Linked DNA regions of Neodiprion lecontei. The protein of the gene in region 1 purifies or fractionates together with the protein of each later gene. This does not show direct contact. Links are inferred from orthologs where the notes say so. Each region holds a gene or a part of one and is shown in the gene's direction. Other genes may lie near its edges. The genes, in order: AP-2 complex subunit sigma and F-BAR domain only protein 2.

Region 1 (4,030 bases):
TCAGAACGTAATTCACCATTTCGGCATGCAAATATTCGAATAGACACTCGTCCGCTTCCCCGGTATCAGGGAGGTTTGTTTTTGTGTCAACGTTTTGCTGCTTCATAACGCAAACGATGATTTAATGGACCGTCAAGAAATAACAACGCCGATTATTGAACTTGCGTTCTGATCTGTCAAAGTGGCAATACCCAACACACTGTCAGTTTCGCCTTGTCGCTCACTAATAGCTGACAAATTACGATCGCTGATTGGTAAAAAATCTCTCAACTTTACATTTATTTTTTGTAATCTGAATTAAATTCAGTTTTTGATGTTTTATTCTGTTTATGGGTAGGTATTTGTCGATGATTCAACTCTAGACGTCAAATATCAAAGCTGTGTTCATTAACTACTGCTTTTCCCCATTGAATAAGCAGCTTTAAGGACGGTCAGCCAAAGGTATTTTTGCTAAGGTCGTATGCGAGGAGAGTCGACGCCACGGTCGACACAAAGCTACGTCGATAATGGAAAATACTTCTCTATCACTAGCATGGGCGATCGCTTACAGAAACGGCACCCTGAGATTCTCTAGAACTTCCGCATAATGACCATGATACAACTGCGAATGGCCAAAAAACTTGTAATATGATCCGTACATTATTGAAAATTTTCACTGCATACTATGAACAAAATCGACAATAAAAAAATTGAGATTTTTACAGGATTGTTTTCTAATCAACGTCTAGAAACAAAGAATATATCCACATGCCAACTGCACTAGGTACCCAACATTTTTGATATAGGTATTTTGCACTGATTTAGATATTACAGATCAGTGGTCCTTTGCTGTCGAGTTTTGCACAACTGGAGGTATTCGTCGAATGCTTAGCTTATTCTCAGAATCAGAATGCATCAACTACACGCTCTGAGTACACGGTCAAATTAACAAAAAATTTTATACTTTTTTATGTATGCGTGAAATTAATATAGGAAGCATGTAATTATCGAATATAAATCACAGACGATACAACCAGATGTAAAACATCACACACGATGGTATGACGTCAGGTTTTTCTTTACCATTCAATAAAATATGTCAATCAATAATAAAGTTTATCCCACAAATAAACGTCTTTTAGTGGTTCAATGTAATTATCGAATATAAATCACAGATGATACAACCAGATGTAAAACATCACACATGATGGTATGACGTCAGGTTTTTCTTTACCTTTCAATAAAATATGTCAATCAATAATAAAGTTTATCCCACAAATAAACCTCTTTTAGTAGTTCAATTAAGTCGATTGACAAGCAAGCACCATCCAACTGGAGAGAGGATTGATTTAAATGGAGGCAAAACGAGCGTATCGTCAAGTGATATCACAAACCCTCACGAAATTCATCTTAATGACAACATTTTCAGTAATAACTCGACGCCAGTACGAACATACCTATACTTGATACGTTACACAAAGAGACAAATCATATATCAGACTCACCCTTACGCCAAACGCCTGCAGAAAATCACGGCGCTCGTCGCAAATGTGAAGTTTCACCACTGCACTGCACATGACAATTGAAACGTTGAATAACAATTGTTCCAAAAAATTCTATAAAACTGATACTTCACTCACTGGTTCACCACTATTTGTTAGGGATCATGTACACGTGAAACCGATGATGCTGTAATCACAACGTCGTGGTTAACTTCAAGTAAAGGAGTATTGCACTGATTTCACTATATCTTTTCTCCTCCATTTTGATTAAAATTTTTAAAAGCGCAGCAATTCAATCGCGAGTGTCATTTGTTGTGCGTGAATGTAGTATACCTACCATAGACGTTGACTGAAGAATATACACATAACGCCGTGTTAAGTATTCAATACACTCGGTATAAATATCTGAAAAGAATCGCAACCTCGTAGCCGGCTGGTCAATAAATTATCGCGAAAATTGCCGAATTAACTCTACCACACAATCAAGCACAGCAAAATTCGCGCAGTTAACTGCGTGCTTGTCGGCTCGGCCGCCCTCGATCGTTTGTCAGGTGGTTCGGCGTCTTCGGCGTTCGCTCACCAACAAGATGGCGCCGGCTACCGAAGCGCCAATATTGCTCCGTGGCGCTACGGTGACACTAAGCGACGAACAGCCGAGAATTTGACTTGAAGTTGTCTGATCTCATTGCATTTTACACGCGTACAGATAGAATACTGATAAAGCAGGAGGGCGGACTTATCACACGAACCTAAAAAGACACTTGATCGAAAGTGTCACCTGTCATCTGTCACCCTCAGAGATAATGGCAAGTACTGCATGAGAATACGATCAAAATTTAATACAATTCAGCGAGAGAATTTATGTTTATTTGATTCCGTGCACCTTGATTAAAGGTTCAACTCAGTATCCAGAATTACGTTATCTCATTGAAATCAATATTATTGCTTGTTTATAAAATTTTGTCAGGTCCGTACAACGCTAGCTTGATCGTTTCTGATTATACATTTTTCCCAGATTCGATTCATCCTAATCCAGAACAGAGCGGGCAAAACTCGTCTTGCCAAATGGTACATGAATTTTGATGACGATGAAAAACAAAAGCTCATCGAGGAAGTTCACGCCGTCGTCACTGTTAGAGATGCTAAACACACCAACTTCGTTGAGGTTCTACAAGTTCATTGGATATAATATGTCTATAATTTCTTAGTTCAGTGCAAAGGAGCTTATTTTGTTTCGTTAAATAGTTCGACGCTTGATTCGTACAACAGTCACAAAGAAGGCTCAAAGTACATCTACTGATAATGAAAAGATTCCCAATTCTGGTTCAAATTCTGACACACTGAAGAAACTGTTTTTTAAAAATTGCTTTTCCTATGGTTGGCTTGACGCCTATGTATCTTGGTTTCAGTTCCGAAACTTCAAGATAGTCTACAGACGATACGCTGGCTTGTACTTCTGTATTTGCGTGGATGTGAACGACAACAATCTTTGCTACTTGGAAGCGATTCATAATTTTGTGGAAGTCTTGAACGAGTATTTCCACAACGTTTGCGAACTAGACTTGGTGTTCAACTTCTATAAGGTACTTTATCCTGCTGAAAAATTTTACAACGCATCTCATGTAGAATATTTAGTCTGTTGTTATAATAGTCAATCTCCTAATAATACCATTGTAATTTCAGGTGTACACTGTAGTGGACGAAATGTTTCTTGCTGGTGAAATCCGAGAAACTAGCCAAACCAAAGTTCTTAAACAGCTTCTCATGTTGAACTCCCTCGAATAATAAAACAAAATACCATTCCCTTAGAAATGTTCTGTATTTGAAAATCTCTCTACAATACAATCTCATGCTCCATTTCTTCTTACACCTCAAGTTTTGTTTCACATTTCTTTCAAAAGTCCAGCAAGTTATCTTTTTTGCAGCTTATACAGAATTCTTCTGTCTTACCGCTGGTTGATATCAGTAAAAGGTGCAACGTCCACTGTTCTATGTCGATAAGTTAGTTAAGCACGGTTATCAGGTTCCTACTTTATCAAGTGCTTGACTGCACACAGAACTCGCGATCACGAAGTGATCTTTAATTTTTTCTCAGAATAAATTGGAAAGAAAAATCTAGGGTAATTATACGAACGCCGAAAATATCTCAAACCTTACGACATCTTGCCGTTATGACGTCACTCTTTTAATTTCCAATAGCACGACTATTGAACTAGAAAGGACAGAAGCTTAAAATTCGATTTAAATTGTATTACAGATAGAAATTTGGAAAAAATGATAAAACATTGAAACATTATGTAGAGCCGGGATACAACAACAGATGAAAATACTAATTGATGACAATTTTCGCTACACTTATTATGAACACTGAATTGAGTTCGATAACATTGTGAATAGTCTCATTATATCAATGTGCTTCGGTATATACGTGTACAGGCGTAGGTTTTAATAAAACTAAAACTGCAAGCATGCATCGAATAACATGGAACCATTCGACAGATTTTTAATTAAATCACCCGCTGCAGCTCGCGAACTAAACAAAATTTAGT
Region 2 (4,953 bases), on another chromosome or scaffold:
ATGTGACGCTAGTAGTTGTCTGACGAGCTTGCGCGCGGTCAGCGAGGGCAGCGAGCGTGTCAGAAGTCTACTAGCGCCACGTAGAAGAATTAAAAAACGGGGACAAACCGCGTACAATTTTTTAGTATATGAGCAGTGGTGAGTGTCAGGGGGCTGGTCAGTTCACGTCCGAAACAAAAGTACATCTTATGGCCACAAAAGCGGCGCTACGAGTTATTCATATGGCTTATTATTATTATTTGGCGGAATCCTAACCAATCTTTCCGATACTCATGCACAGATAACCTTACGTTGTAATCACGGAGTAGTAGGAAGGAGACAACACTCGAGCAGCACTTGGCTCAAAAGCTGGCCCAGTTTTTGGGGCAAAGTAAGAAGAATTGTCAAGGTGCGATTTAAGCGCCTCTTGCGGTGTAAACCCGTACAACGCTCTCCCCCCTTCACCCTATGTTACAATCACGTTATAATTCGCTGTTTGCCGAGACCACGGTCGTGTATACAGGTCTTGTAACTCGGCCGGTTTTATGATGGCGGGGGTGTCCCGCTTAACGGACTCTTTTTCAATAGTTTGTTCTATTACCGCATAAGTCGTTGAGATCGAAGATCGTGCGCCTCCATTAACACCCGTATTCATAGTCCCTCCTTATCTCAAGGATAAAGGAACCCTTGATGAAGGCTTCCTTGAATCTCAGAGGCGTCCTCGTTTCATAGTCACAACTTGGCTCTCCCTTCCAGAAGGAAGACATATTAAGGATATGTGATTGCTTATGGTGGTAAAACAGCTGATCGAAGCGCCACTCGGCTATATTTAAATCTAACTCGAACAGATTAGCTCTCATTGGGAGCTTTCCAGCAACGACACAGAGCGACACAGAGCGACACTGTGTCGAACAGGGTACTTTCCAACAACGACACAGAACGACACAGTCGGACACAGTTGCGGAGCATGGTTGGACACTGTGTCGGATTCATTGCTGCCAATTTTTTAGTTAGAGATTTTATTTTCGACGCATGGTATTGTTTATATCTATTTATTAAATGCAATGATAGTCTACACGCGTTTCACAAATGTTTTTTTTTCCTGGAGCGCTCAATGTTCCTAGATTTTTCGTATAATGCATGAGCGGACTATAGTGACTGAATTAAGAACCTCAAGCGTTCCAACAAGCACCAACAAGTACCAAGGCACAGTGTTCGACCGTGTAACACAGTGTCATACTGTGTCTCCTTGCTGGAAAGCTCCTATTGTCAAGTTGCGTCGGTTGATGAGAGTGTATAACCTCAAAGAAGTTAACCTGTAGACTGGCTGTGACCGCGTCATACGGGTCATAAGTGCATAGACGTCAAGCGCAAGCGCAAGCGTTGGCTACATGAAACGAAACAGCCAATCGCAATGCCGAAGGTTTCCTCAAGGAAGCTCCAGACCTGCCTTGAAAGAAGGAGGCCAATAAGGCTCCTTATTCTGTCGAGGAAGGTCTATGAAACGTGAAATGAGGAACAAGGAATCCTTGTTCCTCAAGGAAGGACTATGAATACGGGTGACACTCTCATCAACTGACGCAACTTGACAATAGGGGTTTTCCAACTGCGACACAGAGCGACACAGTTTACGGCATCGGGTGTTCCAACTACTACACGGTGTCTCACGGACGACTCTCAGAAAAGTTGTGTTTAACCGTGCAATGTATGTCAGTTTTGCCAATGCTGTAGTTCTGTAACCAAAAAGAAACTGGAAAAAAGAGAATGTTTAACGTTGTCAGCGTTGTGAGACAGAGTCTGGTAGTTGTGTATCGTCGACTGTCGTGACGTGAGGTTCTATCGGTTCTGCGGATCGTCGGTGGTCAGGGGCTGGTTAACTGTATTCATATCCTGAGCGCAACACAAATTGAATTACATTTAGTGTTCATCAGTTGATGGCGAGAGGCGTGGCAAGAAGTGCAGCATAGCGTGGTGCGAAAGTGGGCGACGGTGAGGTTCAGAGTGCATAACATGACGGCCTGACATCCACTCACCATGACCGTGGACTTTGCTGATTATTTCTGGGTAAGTGGTTGTGCTTTTGCAAACGTAAACGAGAATTTTCGCCCTCCGCTCCGCCCATCAGGTTATGTGTCGATGCCCACCGCGTCACTGCGAAGATGCATTGTTCTTTGTTTCCGTTTTCTTGTCCACTTGACAGTACTTTCGACGATCTCAGCCTTCTGTCAATCACTTTCCTATCGTCAGTCTTGAATTTCTTCGCCTATCGCTCTGCTCTTCCCGTCTGTGTATACGTTATTAACTATACCTACCATCATACGTTTATTTGGGCCCTGCAAGAATGACCGAATCACAACATCGTCGTATGAATTCCTTAACGTTACGAACGTTGTAAATACCGGAAGCATACAGATAGATGAAAACGTAGTCAACATGTCCCTATGATAGTGATCATTAGCGATTTACGCCAGGCTTACGAATTGTGTTGGGACTGTCGAGTTACGCGATATACTACGCGCGGCTCGAATGCCCAATCCTCTATCTATCTTTCCCGCTCGCTCTTCTTACTCTTGCTCTTCCTCTTGCTCTTTCCTCCTCCTACAACTTGAGTTTCATTCGATTTGTTAATTCGAAGTGGTTGGGAGTAGTCTCAGGCAGTGACTCTTGACTGAAATAAAATGCCATTCACAATAAACGCGACGATGGTTCCATACTTTTGCCTGAGAGTCACTGCTCCAGGCTACTTAACGTCATTCCGAATTGACAAATCGAGCCTAGGAGTAATACAGTTCATGTTTCAGCTTTCATATGTACGCAATATCCTGATATATATGAGCGTGCGTACAATGAGACGAAAGAATTCCTATACACTCAGCCCTTTACCAACGTTATTTCCATAATTACCCATTTAGCTTATATCAAACTATAAAGGTCTCAGAATTTTGTCTTCTACTTTTGCTTCTCTAGGCTGTGTCTTTCATTGGCAATTAAACAATCGATGTCAGGTAAGGTTGGGCACAAGAATTTTTTTGCAAAAATATTACAAACCCAAGATGTTTCCTAATATTCATCCTTTCTACGTCATTTATTATGATGAAAATTAGTGCAGGTAATGTTTTGATTTTAGCTACAATATGGAAGCCTCACACAAAATGTTCCCTAGGGGTTTTTAATTGTATAAGATAATAATATAGTATATAACAATACTAGTATATATTGTATAAGAAATGCAATAAAATAAAAGTGTATAATAATAGTAGTATATCGACTGATAGACGAGGGTCAATAAGCTAGGTGATCCAAATTAATTGCAGGTTCTATATTCTTTATTGTTCAGAGTTTATGGTGACTAACTGCACCACGTACCTATTACCCAGGAATGTCTCACAATTGACGTACATAATGAACGTTCATCAAATAGTTCCTATTGTCGCTGCAACCAGGATAAAATAACTCATTCGAAAATATGACTTTCATGTAGACAGCAATTTTCTATCAAAGATATAACTGTTACCTCTTTGTTTATGACATTGTATATATGACAAAGGGATGTATATTCTTGTTAGTCCTTAAAAAGCACATTCGAGAGATCATGTGTTGTTAGAATAATGAAATTTCTCCAAATCCATAGGGTGAAAAGAATAATGGGTTTGATGTACTGTACCATAATATGAAGCATGGGGCGATCGCAAGTAAAGAACTGGCAGACTTTCTGCGCGAGAGATCAGCAATTGAAGAAAGTAATTACAAGCTTCTGAGCAAAGTTGCCAAGCAGGCAAGTGGCAGTGGCGGCAGTCATGGAACTTTCGCCCCTGTCTGGGCGGCACTGCGAGGCGCTGCTGAAAAATTAGCTGGCCTCCATTTACAGATGGCACAGAAAGTTGGGGAGCTGATCAAAGATGTTTCCAAATATGCAGATGAGCTTCATAAAAAGCACAAAGTGGTGAGACTTGCATTAATATCGCAAATTCAGAGCTAAACTGATGTATTGATTATTTGTCGAGACCAATATTTTTTTTTAGTTTTGAAAGTAATGGATACACTATTGAATTCATATCAGTAGATTCATTTAACCGCTCTATGTCACAACTTACATTGTAATGTTTATAGCTTATGGTCACCCATAATTCCACAAAGATACACAGCAAGGAAAACTTATGTACATCTTTTATACAGACAAGTTCTCATAATGTGTCGATCTACAACATATAATTCAATGACTGAAACATCATCTTTCAATGAATGACATCACTTGACGCTCTAATGTGTTACTCCCGGTGCACAAGATTATCAACGATTGGCCTTGCTGTATAATTTTATTATCGCTGTTTTGATCCATCGTGCAATATTCCATTGCGCCATAAAGGAAAGTATTTTGGAATGGTGCGCAGCTATACTAGGAGCATGACATGATTTCTGCTTTTTCTCAACAATTGAGTCACTTCCCGAGTAAAAAATATCTGGCAACATAGCAGATGCCCTTCCTTTTGTCTCTGCTCCGTTCAGTTCACATTTTTTTTATCTCTGCAGTGGAAGCTTATCAATTGCCGCCCACTGTTCAGCCCCCAGACTGCCGTTGGTCGATTTATCAAATTTTCAGGCCAAGGTTCTCCTGCAAATGAATACAGTTCTGATACTTTCAAAATTATACATCCAAATTGTCTTTTACTTAACTGAATTATATTGATCGATACTAAAATTTAATGTTTAGGTGAAGGAAGAGGAATCTAGCACTCTAGATGTCGTACAAAGTATCCAAAATACAACAGTTACGTTACAAAAGGCAAAGGACATGTGTGTCCAAAAAGGTTTAGAGTTGGAGAAATTGAGAAAAGACAATGCCAGTCAACGAGAACTGGAAAAAGCTGATGCAAAATTCAAGAAATCTCAAGACGATTACAAGGCACTAGTGGAAAAGTATAATGCAATCCGCAATGATTTTGAGTCCAAAATGACTCAGGCCTGCAAGGTATA

What was found.
Region 2: the proteins of AP-2 complex subunit sigma (region 1) and F-BAR domain only protein 2 purify together in Homo sapiens (co-immunoprecipitation; 3 studies listed by BioGRID and IntAct, counting the BioPlex papers as one, with this or other methods). This does not show direct contact. The link is inferred for Neodiprion lecontei from reciprocal best matches to the Homo sapiens genes AP2S1 and FCHO2.

What each region holds. Positions count from the first base shown.
Region 1 is NC_060261.1:36,413,494-36,417,523, forward strand, and holds AP-2 complex subunit sigma, read left to right. Parts: upstream 1-2,141; 5' UTR 2,142-2,284; coding exon 2,285-2,287; intron 2,288-2,496; coding exon 2,497-2,646; intron 2,647-2,890; coding exon 2,891-3,064; intron 3,065-3,164; coding exon 3,165-3,266; 3' UTR 3,267-3,348; downstream 3,349-4,030. Other genes in the region: trafficking protein particle complex subunit 6b, read right to left, coding at 1-106. UniProt on the Homo sapiens protein: Component of the adaptor protein complex 2 (AP-2). Adaptor protein complexes function in protein transport via transport vesicles in different membrane traffic pathways.
Region 2 is NC_060264.1:36,304,215-36,309,167, forward strand, and holds the start of F-BAR domain only protein 2, read left to right. Parts: upstream 1-1,683; 5' UTR 1,684-2,013; coding exon 2,014-2,043; intron 2,044-3,610; coding exon 3,611-3,922; intron 3,923-4,089; exon of another isoform or gene 4,090-4,359; coding exon of another isoform or gene 4,360-4,362; intron 4,363-4,418; exon of another isoform or gene 4,419-4,585; intron 4,586-4,690; coding exon 4,691-4,948; intron 4,949-4,953. UniProt on the Homo sapiens protein: Functions in an early step of clathrin-mediated endocytosis. Has both a membrane binding/bending activity and the ability to recruit proteins essential to the formation of functional clathrin-coated pits.